3 linked regions of the Saccharomyces cerevisiae S288C genome follow. The gene in region 2 interacts genetically with the main gene of each other region. Each region holds a gene or a part of one and is shown on either strand. Other genes may lie near its edges.

Region 1 (5,707 bases), on a different chromosome or scaffold from region 2:
ATCTACATGAGAAACAAGACTTAGTCATTGCCTTTTGCCAGAATTGGCTTCGGCCGTAGCTGTTGAAGTTAATCCCGCAGTAAAAGACAAACGGCTCCGTATTCAGCAGTTCTATATATCACCTCATTAAGACACAGACGATCTTGACAGTTGCAGCAGAAACACGCCACCATATGTTCTTGTAGCTACACCACGATTGAGTGTCTGCACTCTTATTCAAGTGTTTCAACTAAAAATAAGTCTAAGCTGAAAGATTATTACTTTCATTTGATTTTTTTATTTTTGAAGCCCCATTTCCTTAAATCGTTCTCGTGGACGAGATTAAAAATAGAAATGATGTAGAGGAGATGCACTAAACATTGCCTCCCTGCACCGCACAATTACTGTAGCCATTGTGCTTATTTATATCTACCTATATATCTAAGCAGCTATATCATGGGCTTGACATACGCGACTTCTGCTTGCTTTTGTGCTCTCGTTCAAAGAGCAATTACTTCATTCCATCTCAAGAAGGACTGTTGCAGGTCATTATTTCATTTCTTACTGCACGTATTTCGATTGAGCTGCTAATGAAATCACAACACAACTACCCAAATAGCCTAAGAATTGGAAAAAGGCCCTTCTTGATAATTGGATCTGTTGAGTTGGCGTATGCAAAGCTGTAAATATTGAACGGATCTGGTTGAAAAAGAAAATCATGCTTTCTTTATTGTCGCGTAAACTGTACACTGCTGCAATTATCTAGCTGGCTGCTAGTAGCAATGTGCTCTTCGTTACGCTACCGTAGCTTTTCTCCGTGAGTGACTGATTTTGCTGCTGTACATTTAACTCCTTTTCTATTTAAATTGTGCGCTGCCATTTTCCGCATCGGAAAACCTAAGACAAATTTTGATGAGTATACTTGGTACGTGCCCACGCAGCCAATAGTGTCTCGTTCACGGCATCAGATACAGCAGTACTTAAAAGGGCACTGAGGATCAGGTTTCCTAATCTGGAAAATTTTGCAGCACAAAGCTTAGTTATTTATCTCCGATTATGGATTTCTGCAGTACCTAGGTTTCAACGTAAAACTGTAACAGAACCTTTCGTCATGCAAGCATAATTGAGTTGAGTGCCTTGTTTCCAATTTCAGTTTCCAATTTTACTTCAAAAATCACTTCTGAAATAAGATTTAAGACTTGTCAACCCTGTTCCAAAAGTGGACGCATCATTAAATGTACCTTTTTTCTGTACAAACTTTATAGTTTCTAGGGTTGGTGATGTGACCGTCTCTGGCAGAGTCGCAATTTAATAATAAATATTAGAATTGTGCTCTGTAAATGTATTAGATTCGTTGTTAACAATCTTAGTGACTGAATTCTCATTACCTTCACTGTTGTTCAAATCGATTTGTTGGCCAGTCACATCTTCACCTCGATGATTTATCTTCTGTTGTTGTTCCTTTTGGACCATTTCTAGAGCGGCCATGACGTTATCTTCGAGGCTCAACATAGCATCGTTCATTATAGTATGGTCATTTCTATCTAAATCGGGAACTGAATGGTTCATATCTCGTTCATCACGGTTGACGGGGTTCGCGTGATCCTGCGATTCGTTATTCGTTAAATGGGGTACAATTCCGTTGGAGGCAACATCCAAGTATTTTCGTCTTTTTCTTGAGTTTTCTTCCTCCACGAATCTATTGAAGGAATTCATTGACTGTTCGTCGTCCAATAGTGGCGTGCTCTGTATTGAGGAAAGAAACTCGGATCTTTTATTCGCTTCGTTGGCTTCAGCTGTTGTTGCGGGACTATTCGTGGCGTTCTGGAATGTGGGTTGTACGATATTAGTGTCTGGCGGAGTGGGTTCACCCTCCACATCATTCAGCGTACTGGAAATAATATTTTGAGGGAAATTTATTGCCTGTCCCAATAACGCATTATCATGCTTCTTGCTTTTTCTTGGATTGTTGATAGTTTCTATATGCTGCGTCGGTAGCATATGCGCCTGCTTAACTGCTCTCTTTTGTTCAATTATTACCCCTGTCCCGTCTTTGTACCTCATCTTGCATTTTTGGCACCGAGAGATTACCTCCGAAACAGTACTCTTGATTCCTCTCCAATGGTATTTTTCACCAATTTTGGAGGTCACCTTGTTGATGCCTAAATGTTCCATTAAATGTATCTCTAATGCAATCTGGATTTGTTGATCCGTGTCATAAATGATTTCTTTTCCTTTTGTCATCAACTTGCCATTCAATACCGAATGAGTTTTGGAAAGTACTCTTAATCTAGCCTTTTCGTTTCTATCACAATGTAAAGGATACTTGCCTGTTTCCAGAAAATGCTTTAATCGTTCATATTTCCCAATTTCGATACTCTTTTGAGGATCTCGTAACAAATCTATACTTTTCGTAATATGTGTGAACTCTTTACCATACATGAAAGAATCTACTGGGACATCAAAGCCCTTGAGAATCCCGGCTTCAGGCAGCTTTCCAATCCGCCTAAAGTTCAATCCTTCCAAAATTCTTCTGATTCCTACGTTCGTTCCGTAAATTAACGGGAAAAAGGAGGACGTAAATCCTAATTTCTTTGACCATTCTATGAATGTTTCCATTAGTGTTTTCCCAATACCTTTTCCACGAATACCAGCATTGACCAGAAATGTTCCTGTGACCACATGCGCTGACCGTCCAGGGTATGCTGGTTTGAGGTCAAATATGCCTAGACATTGCTTCTCCCACTGCATACTTAGATTTAAATTGCGACGTTCTTTTCGTTTCTTATATTGGGTGGTGTGCTTCGTGGTTTCTATTTCTGTTCCAAAATTATCATTTGTGTCCGCTTCAGTATCCATACTATAATCCAGTTCTGGTATTTCGCCTAACACCATAATACAAACGTGACCATCATTATGAAACCAGACATTTTTGAATTCTTCTAGTGATAAAGTCTCGTAATAAGGAAAACTATCTCCCTTTTCCACTTCCATGTTAAATTCATCTAGAAGGAAATTTAAGAGCCCTAGCGGCAATAAATCAGGATACGCAGGTATAGGATACATCGTAGCTATTGTTTCTCCATCTTTCAATAAAATGGTATACGGTTGTAAAGGAGTCAAAAGTTGATCTGGGACCGCTGCCTCATTTCTCACTTCTGAACTGCTATTTTGGTGTGCCATCTGCAGATGTTCGTCATCCGGTACTGAACTTGTGTGCTGATTTAGCATTGAAGCTAATTATTACGATTTTTGTTGATAATCACTTTGGCGGAAGTCTAGAGTTGTTCTTGATCGGTACACTTTTTACTCATCCCCCGAGCAGTGAACTAACGCCAATGTAATGAATTTTGCTCTTTTATATTTTTCATTTTTTTATTATTTTAGCTCACGATCCGCATCTCGAATTTTCAGAGCTTACTAGATTCTAGGCCATTAGAAGTAAATGAATAGAGGTGAAATAAAATTCATACCCATCATGAAGTCTCCTTCATAAAATATAACACCGCAAATGACTAGTAAATTAAAACGGGTTGCTGTCGCACAATTATGTTCATCCGCTGACCTGACCAAAAACTTAAAAGTGGTAAAAGAATTGATATCTGAAGCCATTCAAAAAAAGGCGGATGTCGTTTTTCTCCCTGAGGCAAGTGACTATCTTTCTCAAAACCCTCTTCATTCCAGGTATTTGGCACAGAAAAGCCCCAAATTTATTCGGCAATTACAGTCAAGCATTACCGACCTTGTCAGAGATAATTCACGGAATATAGATGTTTCCATTGGGGTACACTTGCCGCCCTCAGAACAAGATTTACTTGAAGGCAATGATCGAGTCAGAAACGTTCTATTATATATCGATCATGAAGGGAAAATATTGCAAGAATACCAAAAACTGCATTTGTTTGACGTAGACGTGCCAAATGGACCGATATTGAAAGAATCAAAATCTGTCCAGCCTGGCAAAGCCATTCCTGACATTATAGAGTCTCCATTGGGAAAATTGGGCAGTGCCATTTGTTATGATATTCGCTTTCCCGAATTTTCTTTGAAATTACGATCAATGGGGGCTGAAATCTTATGTTTTCCCAGTGCGTTCACTATTAAAACAGGGGAAGCACATTGGGAGTTACTAGGCAGAGCAAGAGCGGTTGACACTCAATGCTATGTGCTCATGCCAGGGCAGGTTGGAATGCACGATCTCAGTGATCCAGAGTGGGAGAAACAATCACATATGAGCGCTCTCGAAAAAAGCTCCAGGAGAGAATCTTGGGGACACTCAATGGTCATTGATCCTTGGGGTAAAATAATAGCGCATGCCGATCCCTCTACTGTTGGACCACAACTAATTCTCGCTGATTTGGATCGTGAGCTTTTGCAAGAAATAAGGAACAAAATGCCCTTATGGAACCAGAGAAGAGACGATTTATTTCATTGAGGCAAATAAAATATGAAAAAAGCCTTTATTCGTACAGATTTGCTTTACATATTAAAAATTTCAAAAACATATAATTTAAGTATATAAGTAGTTAATCATTTAATTATTTTTCCGTGGATCGAAGAATTTCGTTAACTTTTTCATCATCTCTTGATCTATTCACAACTTTAAATGCAAAAGTCAAATATGAGGTATGGGATTTGATCTCAGCTTCCATCTTTGTGACCTCCTTCCATTTATAATTACTATCACCTTCCTTGATTCGAGAACCTTTGCCAAAAGGATTAAATTTGGCCTTTTCTGTTAATGGTACGCCATCCTCGTTTCTTTTTCCAACTTTTTCATCGTTAGAATCTATTGTATTGTTAAACATCCGCTTGCGTCTTTCTACACCCTGGAGTTTGTGCCTCTTAATATCTCTCAACCTTTCCAGGGCATCATTGAGTGATCTGACCATTTGTCTTCGACTTTCGTACTGTCTACCTTGAATTTCCACCATTTCAACATCCGTCCAGCCATATTTCTCTAATACATCCAATGTTTTGTCTACTTGCTCAATGCATGGGGAGAAGCAACACAATCCGACCTTTTCGTCTACGGAAATAACAGAATCCAGATGAGGTATAGCATCCCAGGGAGCCGGCAGATCTAAAAACACTACATTTGCATTCAATGAAGCGGCGGTTTCATTATTGCCAAATTCGTAAGATGTAGTGTCTCCCTTCTTTATAAGAAATCCACCTTGGCAAACATCCCGATGTGTAATCGTAACGTTATCATCAATAAGTCCATGCTCTTTGAATTCCTCTAATGCTTGTTCGTATCTTATGTGATGAAATTCAAAACTAAAAAGATGACCTACAGATCTTGCAAAAGCGTGCGAAAATGATCCTGAGCCTGTACCTGCCTCGATCACTCTGCTGTGAGGGCTACAATTCAACCTTTGCATGATGTAGGAAGAGTCGGGCGTATATACAATTTGAGTTCTGTGTGGTAACGACAAAGTCCACAATTCAGGAGTTGGTTGCAGAACATGGACGAATGCAAACTTATTTGAGCCCTTTGTTCTTATAGCAATTTGAGAACCATAAGGTTTACCTATGATATCCTTATGAGGAAATGAACCATAACGAGTATTGAATACCTCTTCGGAATGCATCCTTACCGGTTTGATGTTATCTCTAGAAACCCATATTAGAGTTAAATCGCCTTCCTTGATGAGGTCTTTGTAACCGGAAAAACAATTTGTTGACATTTCTAAATCTGCGTAATCTTAGCTACCTGATAGTCCCA
Region 2 (3,171 bases):
CCTCTGTCTCCTTGCATTACAACAGTAGCTCTACCCTTACCATTGCCAGCATTATTTACATTTCCCGTAAATATCATTTCGGCAACACGTGAGATATCATCTGGCTTCAAATCTTCGATCTTACTTATCATTTCGTTGACTGGGATTTTGCGACCATGCATGAGAACTTGTCTGCCCATATCTTCCAATTCTACCAGTTTAGACTCTAGGTTCATTAGTAGTGAAGACTTCAACTGATTCTTGGCCCTGGAGACTTCGTCTTCAGTTAACCTCAAATCCTTATTAGCAAATGTATTATACATTTGCTGTGCAATTACCTCAACCGCTTGAGGAGCTGCCTGCGGTATACAAGATAATGAAATACCGAAAATACCAGAATCCGAATAAGAATGGTTGAACGCAACACAATTTTCAACAAAGTAATACTGGTTCAAAACGTGGGTATACAAACGAGAATACATCCCCTTTCCTGGCCCACCAGCACTGAAAGAACCACCACCTCCAAGTAAAGTTTGTAATGTTGCTAAAGCATAAATGTCTGGATGATCTATAGGGAGACCTTCAAATCCGATCTGGATGTGGAATAATTCTGGTAAATTCCCAAACACTGGTGCTGGTGGAATACAACTTTCCCCGCCCGTATATTGGGCAACTTTTTTGGTGATCGGAGGGTGTGTAGATTGCCAGTCACCGAGATACTTTTCTGTAAGCTCTAATGCCTTTTCGTGAGGAACACCAACAAATGCCGCAACAGTATTTTCTGGGGTGTAGAATTTATTTCTGTAGTCCAATAAGTAGTATTTAGAAATAGAAGGAATGAGCTCTCTAGGGCAGATTAAAGGGGACCCCAAAGTTTCTCCGGAGTATGCTGCTGTGTGCAACAGCTCAGGTAATACCAATTCTGGCTTCATCCAAACTTCATCGATTTCATACTCTGCCGACAGCTTCTGTTCTTGCAGTTCTTGCTCAGTAATCTTAGGGAACCTCACAGTTTCTGACATTAATTGAAGCATTTTACCCACATCCTGGTTGAACACAGAAGCCTGATACATCAAATTTTCTCTAGACGAGGTACACTGGTAATTCCCACCCAGTAACTCCAACGTCTCTGCCATTGCTCGGCCCTCGACGTGTTCGGTTGATTTGAATGCTAGTCTATCCAAGATATGTGTACAACCCTTCAAATTCCTACCTTCAAACCGTGATCCTGCGTCGATGTATAGGCCTAAGGCACTAAAGTGTCCAGGAGTATTTGATGTCGCCACTTTCAGTCCATTCGCTAGTGACGAAAGCTTAAAATTATCGGTTCTAGCGATGTTAGAGTACAACCTCTGAACGCCGTTCCTTAGCATCTTTTGTTATTAATCAGCTCTCTGCTTTGCATTAATTTGACCACCTGCCCTGAAACACCTTTCTTCTAGTCCACCTGTGTAGGCTTTTTCACCTGAATTGTTCATTCTCGATACGCCCTCACGCCGGATGAAAAATTTGTGCAAGAGTCATCATCTCGAAAAGATATGGTGATAAAAACAAGTGTACTTCTAACCTGCCTAATGGTTATAACAGTAGCATAAAGTAGATATACGGACTACAGAAAATGGTTCGTGCCTTCAAAATTAAAGTTCCAGCTTCTTCCGCCAATATCGGCCCTGGTTATGATGTTCTTGGTGTCGGTCTTTCTCTATTCTTGGAGTTAGATGTCACCATCGACTCCAGCCAAGCTCAGGAAACAAACGACGATCCCAACAACTGCAAGCTGTCTTACACTAAAGAAAGTGAAGGCTATTCTACGGTCCCATTGCGTTCTGATGCTAACCTGATTACCAGGACTGCGTTATATGTGTTGCGTTGCAACAATATTAGAAACTTCCCCTCCGGAACCAAAGTTCACGTCTCCAACCCAATCCCACTTGGCCGTGGATTGGGTTCCTCTGGTGCAGCAGTTGTGGCAGGTGTTATTTTAGGTAACGAAGTGGCCCAATTGGGTTTCTCTAAGCAACGTATGTTGGACTACTGTTTGATGATTGAACGTCATCCAGACAACATAACCGCTGCTATGATGGGAGGCTTTTGCGGTTCATTCCTAAGGGACTTGACCCCACAAGAGGTGGAAAGACGTGAGATTCCATTGGCTGAGGTGCTTCCAGAACCTTCTGGTGGTGAAGATACCGGTCTGGTTCCCCCATTACCTCCCACCGATATCGGTAGACATGTCAAATACCAATGGAACCCCGCCATTAAATGTATTGCGATCATCCCACAGTTCGAGTTGTCCACCGCCGACTCCAGAGGCGTTCTTCCAAAAGCCTACCCAACCCAGGACTTGGTTTTCAATCTACAAAGATTGGCCGTCTTGACCACAGCTTTGACCATGGACCCACCTAATGCCGACTTAATCTACCCTGCTATGCAAGATCGTGTCCACCAACCTTATAGAAAGACATTGATCCCAGGTCTCACGGAAATCTTATCATGTGTCACCCCATCCACATACCCTGGCCTATTGGGTATCTGCTTGTCAGGTGCAGGCCCAACTATCTTGGCTTTGGCCACTGAGAATTTCGAAGAAATCTCTCAAGAAATTATCAACAGGTTCGCCAAAAACGGCATCAAGTGCTCCTGGAAACTACTGGAGCCTGCCTACGATGGTGCTAGCGTCGAACAGCAATGAAATGTCCTTTACCCCTAGTATACTGTGTTAAATACTATTGTAGACCATATACATACTGTAATTGACCGTTAACGGTTATTATGCTGAGTCTTCTTCCGTTACCCGTCTTTTCTATCTATTTCGAAAATAAAAAATAAGTGAAAAGAACGAAATTTCACAACCATTAACAATACAGATAATGAATCGAAGTTGTTTTCAGTCTCAATTCAAAAGACTCATAGCCAAGGCCAGTTGATTGATTTAGCCACAAGTATCATTCAACGTAATATCCACAGGTGTTTTTTTTCTCACCGGAAGGCGAATAAAATACAGGAGCTAGAGCGTGTAAGATAATGAACAAGGAATCTAAAGATGATGATATGTCCTTGGGGAAGTTTTCCTTCTCCCACTTCCTATATTACTTGGTGCTAATAGTAGTAATAGTGTACGGTTTGTACAAGCTTTTCACTGGACATGGATCCGACATTAATTTCGGGAAGTTCTTGTTAAGGACATCCCCT
Region 3 (5,337 bases), on a different chromosome or scaffold from region 2:
TATCCATTATCACTAGTTTTTGTTTCATTTGCTACGGGTTTCGGCTTTGCTACTTTATCTTGCCCACTAGATGTAGAGTTCCTATTCCTAATACTAGTCTTTTCTTCACTTTTTTCTTTCTTTTCCAAAGCTCCTGAGCTCTCGACTTCACCATCATCTTCTTGTTGTAAATTCTCCTCTTTCTCCGCAGGCAGAATATCTGCAAGGTAGCCTCTTTCGGAAACTTTAAACTCGTCGTCTTTCTGCTCAGAAACATCGCCATCACTACTCAAATGTTCATTTCCATTCCTTGTTGGCGTATTGAAAGTGGTATCAGCTTCATTAGTATCCATTGAAACCCCTAAGGAATGTGATTTTTCATCTTCTTCTACAGGAGATGATGAAGAGGGTACCGCTTCCCCTAATGGTGCTTCGTTTTGGATTTCGTCACAACTGTCTGAATCACGCCGAAAATCAGATGTTTGCCTAATTTCTGGTGTCATCTCCCTTGATATTTGCTCTATCAAATTGTCTAGGTCTTCGTTTACAGCCCTATTTGTATGTGGTGATTTTTTGTTTTCACTTGGACTTTTCAAAGATGCTGTCGACGAAAGATAATCTGATTTGGAGTGCTCGCTGGATTTTTTCGCTTGTAATTCCACAGACTCTCTTGAAGCCATAAGTTTAGGCACCCCATCTGAGAGATAGCCTACTTCCTTGTCACTAGGACTAATATCACTCTTACTGACGTTATTATCATTGCTGTCTTTATTTTCACCCGTATTTTCATCATGCTCACCATTAACATCTGTATAATTGAGCTTGGGTAAACTAGGCAAATTAGATATTTTTTGCTTGTGAATTTCTGAACCTTTTGTGCCATCCTCGGAAGAGTAGTCATATTCGTCACTACTGTCCCATCCAGCGCCGTCATAACTTGCTTGAGATGCGCTAACCCATCTATACGATTTCTTTCTACCGACCTGTTCAGTGCTCATAATAAATATCCGCTTTCCAGAAAAAGGGTAATGATCAAACAGTCCCTTTTAACTATAATGCAAGTTTTGTGTTTACCTTGTTAACCATGTATGAAAGTGGTATTTAGGAATACTTTTAAGTGCCTTACAGAATTCTTGGCATGAGAAAAACAAAATAGCTACCCGGAATGAAACACTAATGTGTCACCAAACAAACAAACGACGTTATATAATTGTTGTGATATTTGCATCTTCATCTTATGATGATGAGAATATAAATAATTTTTAATCGTATTAAGTGTATATATGAATAAGCTATTAACCCTACCCATTAATTTCCGGGCGGGTTGTTATTTTTATCAGTATTGGCCTCTGCCGGGCGGCTAGCACGCTGGGTAGCTGCTGCGACAGCGGCTTCTGCTGCTTGCATAGCATTTTTTTGCATTTTTTTACCTGCAAACTTCATACAAAATGGCATCAAGGATGTATTGAGGGCAACCCATGCCACGAGAATACCGTAATTTCTTCCCATTTTTCTTTTGGTTAAATTCAAAAAAATCACTTTATAGATATCCACGGCATTATGGATTGGCATTATGTAGCCGTACCTGTAAAATTCGTTGTTCAAAACCATTGGGTAGAATGAAGCAGAAATATTTAATATGATCCACGTCATCAACCAAATACTCAGGTATGGAGGGCAGTAAGCTATAACTAAGCTGAGAACGTTTTCATTGGCACCACCAACAGCCATCATTACCAACCACGTAGACATCCAATATACTACGAATCCTCCTCTGCCAAAGGCGGGGGTGAAATCGATCCTAAAAATTGCAGATACGGTACAGAATCCAATGGAAAGAAGAAAATAAGTTGCCCAGGAAATTAGAAGCCTGTAGATTAAAATATGCTTTGGCTTCAGAACTCTGGCCATTTCTCCGTGCAACTTACCATATAATGACAGTTGTAAAACGGTTAACAAAATACAATAAATCAGACCGACCTGCAGAGGGGCCATTAGAATACGATCAGCAAAGGGACGATAATCGTTGTAGGTGAACAACAACTGTCCTGCAATCGCCCAGTTCTCCATGTTTATATTAAGATCTCTGTCATTAGAAGTGATGTTGCTCATCAATGAGGGAAGATATTCCTTGACGTAATATTTCTGAAGGCGGACCTCCAATTGTTGCATGAGTGGTAGAATGGTCGATTTAACACTCGATGGGTCACGACCACTTTCAAACACGGATTCAAAAAAAATTGATGAATTGAACTCCGAGTTTGCGTCTTGGCTAATCAAAGAATTATACAAAGTGTCTGTAGCATTAGGTTTAACGTTTAACGCCAGCCAGTATCTCTCATCGTAAATTAAATCGACTATCTTTCTGTCAATTTCGGTGGAGTTCGTCGTACCAAATTTCCTATGAAATGATGTTGCGTTGTATATATGCCATGTCCCGGGGACAGACGCTAACAATGAGGGTATGATCGCGGAAATAGATTGAACTGAAGTATTAGATGGCGCATCCTGCAATACAACAATATTTTTCACTTTGAAAAAGTAACGATCTGTTCCGTAACAGGCACCCCAGTAAATCGATATGAGCGATACACACACACAAGCAATGAAGAAGTTGTTCAAAACAAACTTCGAGAGAATCTTTTTCCTATGATTTCGCAGTCTTGGAGAAAAAAGCCCTGTTTGAATTCTTGCCAAGGGACCGCCGTCGTTACCGCCCTTCTCTTCCTCATTAGCGCCACCTTCCCCCACAGATGACAATGAGGACGGCTTTTCATCAGGAGGCCGATAGTCTTCTAATGACTTTGCTAAGTCAGAAGAATGGCCGGAACCCTCAGCAAATCGCTGATTACTGTACGAAACCCCGTCCCTGCCGCCAGTAAATGCAGCTGCTGCTGCAAAACTAGGGTCCTCAATGTACTGTGACTCTTCATCACCAACCGATTTAGTCATATTTGTTCTCTGTACGGCTACTTACACTTATGTCAGTACCCGATTCTTACGGCGTATAAAAGATTAAAGAAACAGGATATGTGGCTTGATATATACAAAAAAAAAGAACGATATGGAGTACACTATGTATCTCTCAACAATGCTAAGATATGAAGACGCTTATTGACTACGCCAGTCCGTTTTCCATTCCCTTCTTCGAATAGGGTGGCCCGTTGATGACAAAGCTGCGAGTCATCTATCATCAAACAAACTCACGGCTTTCGCTTTTCTTTAGTCTATTTCGGATTGTACCACCTCCTCGGACATTCATAAAAGGATTCGAAAACGAATAACCACGCATATACACGGAAATAGGAGAAAACTAAACGGGAATCGGTTTATTTTTTTCTCAACATTTCTTTTTCCTGATTTTCCATCCTTTTCGAGATCCACCTATTGTGGTGAAAAATAACGAAAATATGTGCTTTAGGTGTGCAAGGCATAATGTGTGGCATACTGGAAGGAACAAGTTGAACACGCCAGCTGGAAAGAAGTTCAATACCAACTTGCCCAATGCCTAACTCAAATGTTCGGATTCCTCCTACTGTTCCATCGAAGATAATAGATGTGGTCGACCAAGCGCTAAGAGCGCGACTCTTAGGTGGCAGCACCTTCAATTCAGGGTTTGATAGTTTAGATTCCGTACTTAACTTACAGTTTAGACTACATTACCATGTTATTGGATCGAATGGGCCTGCAAAACCAGTTTGTGATGTTTTACTGAAGGAAAGTCAAAATTTAGAAAAGAATATGAGTATGATGGAGGAGTTGAATGACTATCCGGAGATTACAAAACTAGTGGAGAAAATTCTGTTCAATTGCCTCGGTATTCTTTTCTTCCACAGGGGCCAATTTCAGGAATCGCAGCGGTGCTTGCTGCACTCGTTGAAAATTCATAATAACACTGCATCGCAAAAAACAGCACTTATGGAGCAGTATGATAGGTATTTGATCGTAGAAAACCTGTACTACCGTGGTCTAGTTTCGCAAGACATAAATATCATGCAAAATGTTTTTTACAAAGAACTACTGGCCCACGTGGATACGATCCCTCCCGAATCAAACGGTCTTCTTTTCGAATACATCAGCTTGATCGTCGCAAAACTCAGGTTCAATCAAATTCAGGATTTAGCAGAAAATTTTAAAACTACCGTCGAAAATCCTTTTATTCTTTTCCTTTACATGATAAAGAAGTTCCAGTCACCTCTCAAAAAGCACATTGATAATGATGATCTTTATTTGAAGTTCGGACAGAACGTTTTGTTGAAGGCCAAATTTCCTACTGCTAGTGAGACAAATGATGAAGCTTTGGAGCATTTTAATGTCTTTTTGCAGTATTATTTCAAATTCACTCACATAAAAAAAATAAAAGTGAATCCCAGTTGGTATAATTTCATAATATCTTCAATGGAAAAGACTTTTCAAAGTATTGAAGTTTCGAAAACAGCAATGTTTCTTTTCCAAAACCTAAGCGATAACAGTAATGACGAAATAAAGAAGAAGACATTTAAAAGAGAATCTATACTAAATTTTGTTAATTTTGTGAAATACAACGACAAGTACTATCAACTGCACGATAACTCCCACCGTGACATAATTTCATTCATTGATGCGTATTCTTTTATTTTACAAAACTCCTCCAAAACCGATTCAATCGAAAATGTTTTTGATTACGATAATACGGTATCTACGTTTGCGACTTCCTTGAATTCCTTCTACAAAGAATATAATTTGCCATTAATGAGCCAATCAGAATCTTTAGATTGGCTAGAAAACAGCACCAGATGTGTATACCCAGGAAACATTTCGAAAGTTCTAACAAATGCGTGGTCAACATTGTACGAAATCAGAAAATATCAGTTAGATTTTCTTGTATCTAATAATTTGACTTCATATCTATGTAATGCAATGATGCTGTCCACAAAAGAAAAAGACAATGCTGATGTAGAAGAGCAGGAAGAAGGAGAGGAGGAGAAGGCATTACGTGAATTACAATTTAAATATTCTTACACTCTAGCACAACAGAGGCACATTGAAACTGCAATCAAGACTCTAGAATCATTGATATTAAGTAAAAACCCAAATTACTACAAAGCTTGGCATCTATTAGCTCTTTGTAGGTCTGTGCAAGAGGATAAGGAAATGTCGTACAAGATAGTTTGCTCTGTTCTAGAAGCTATGAATGAAAGTCTTCAGAACAATACTTTACTTCTGAATGATAGATGGCAATTTATTCACCTAAAATTAACGCAATTGGCGCTAATTGAAGAAATTTTTGGCACTTTAGAGGCACTGGAGACACTTCCAGAGGTCTTTGAATTATACGCAACATTATTTCCAGATTCACAACCTGAATTGAACAGCATG

Evidence for each region.
Region 1: mutations in THR1 (region 2) and SPT10 are lethal when combined (synthetic lethality), as found in Saccharomyces cerevisiae (one study listed by BioGRID).
Region 3: of THR1 (region 2) and SNG1, extra expression of one rescues a mutant of the other (dosage rescue), as found in Saccharomyces cerevisiae (one study listed by BioGRID).

The regions. Positions count from the first base shown.
Region 1 is NC_001142.9:181,011-186,717, forward strand, and holds SPT10 (Spt10p), read right to left. Parts: upstream 3,211-5,707; coding exon 1,288-3,210; downstream 1-1,287. Other genes in the region: MCO6 (Mco6p), read right to left, coding at 541-699; NIT2 (putative hydrolase), read left to right, coding at 3,491-4,414; tRNA 1-methyladenosine methyltransferase subunit GCD14, read right to left, coding at 4,518-5,669. UniProt on the Saccharomyces cerevisiae protein: Required for normal transcription at a number of loci in yeast. Affects transcription at Ty1 elements, at PHO5, STE6 and ADH2.
Region 2 is NC_001140.6:157,841-161,011, forward strand, and holds THR1 (homoserine kinase), read left to right. Parts: upstream 1-1,597; coding exon 1,598-2,671; downstream 2,672-3,171. Other genes in the region: MAS2 (mitochondrial-processing protease subunit alpha), read right to left, coding at 1-1,352; VMA16 (H(+)-transporting V0 sector ATPase subunit c''), read left to right, coding at 3,004-3,171. UniProt on the Saccharomyces cerevisiae protein: Commits homoserine to the threonine biosynthesis pathway by catalyzing its O-phosphorylation.
Region 3 is NC_001139.9:891,210-896,546, forward strand, and holds SNG1 (Sng1p), read right to left. Parts: upstream 2,932-5,337; coding exon 1,288-2,931; downstream 1-1,287. Other genes in the region: FYV8 (Fyv8p), read right to left, coding at 1-977; YPP1 (Ypp1p), read left to right, coding at 3,484-5,337. UniProt on the Saccharomyces cerevisiae protein: May function as a N-methyl-N'nitro-N-nitrosoguanidine (MNNG) export permease.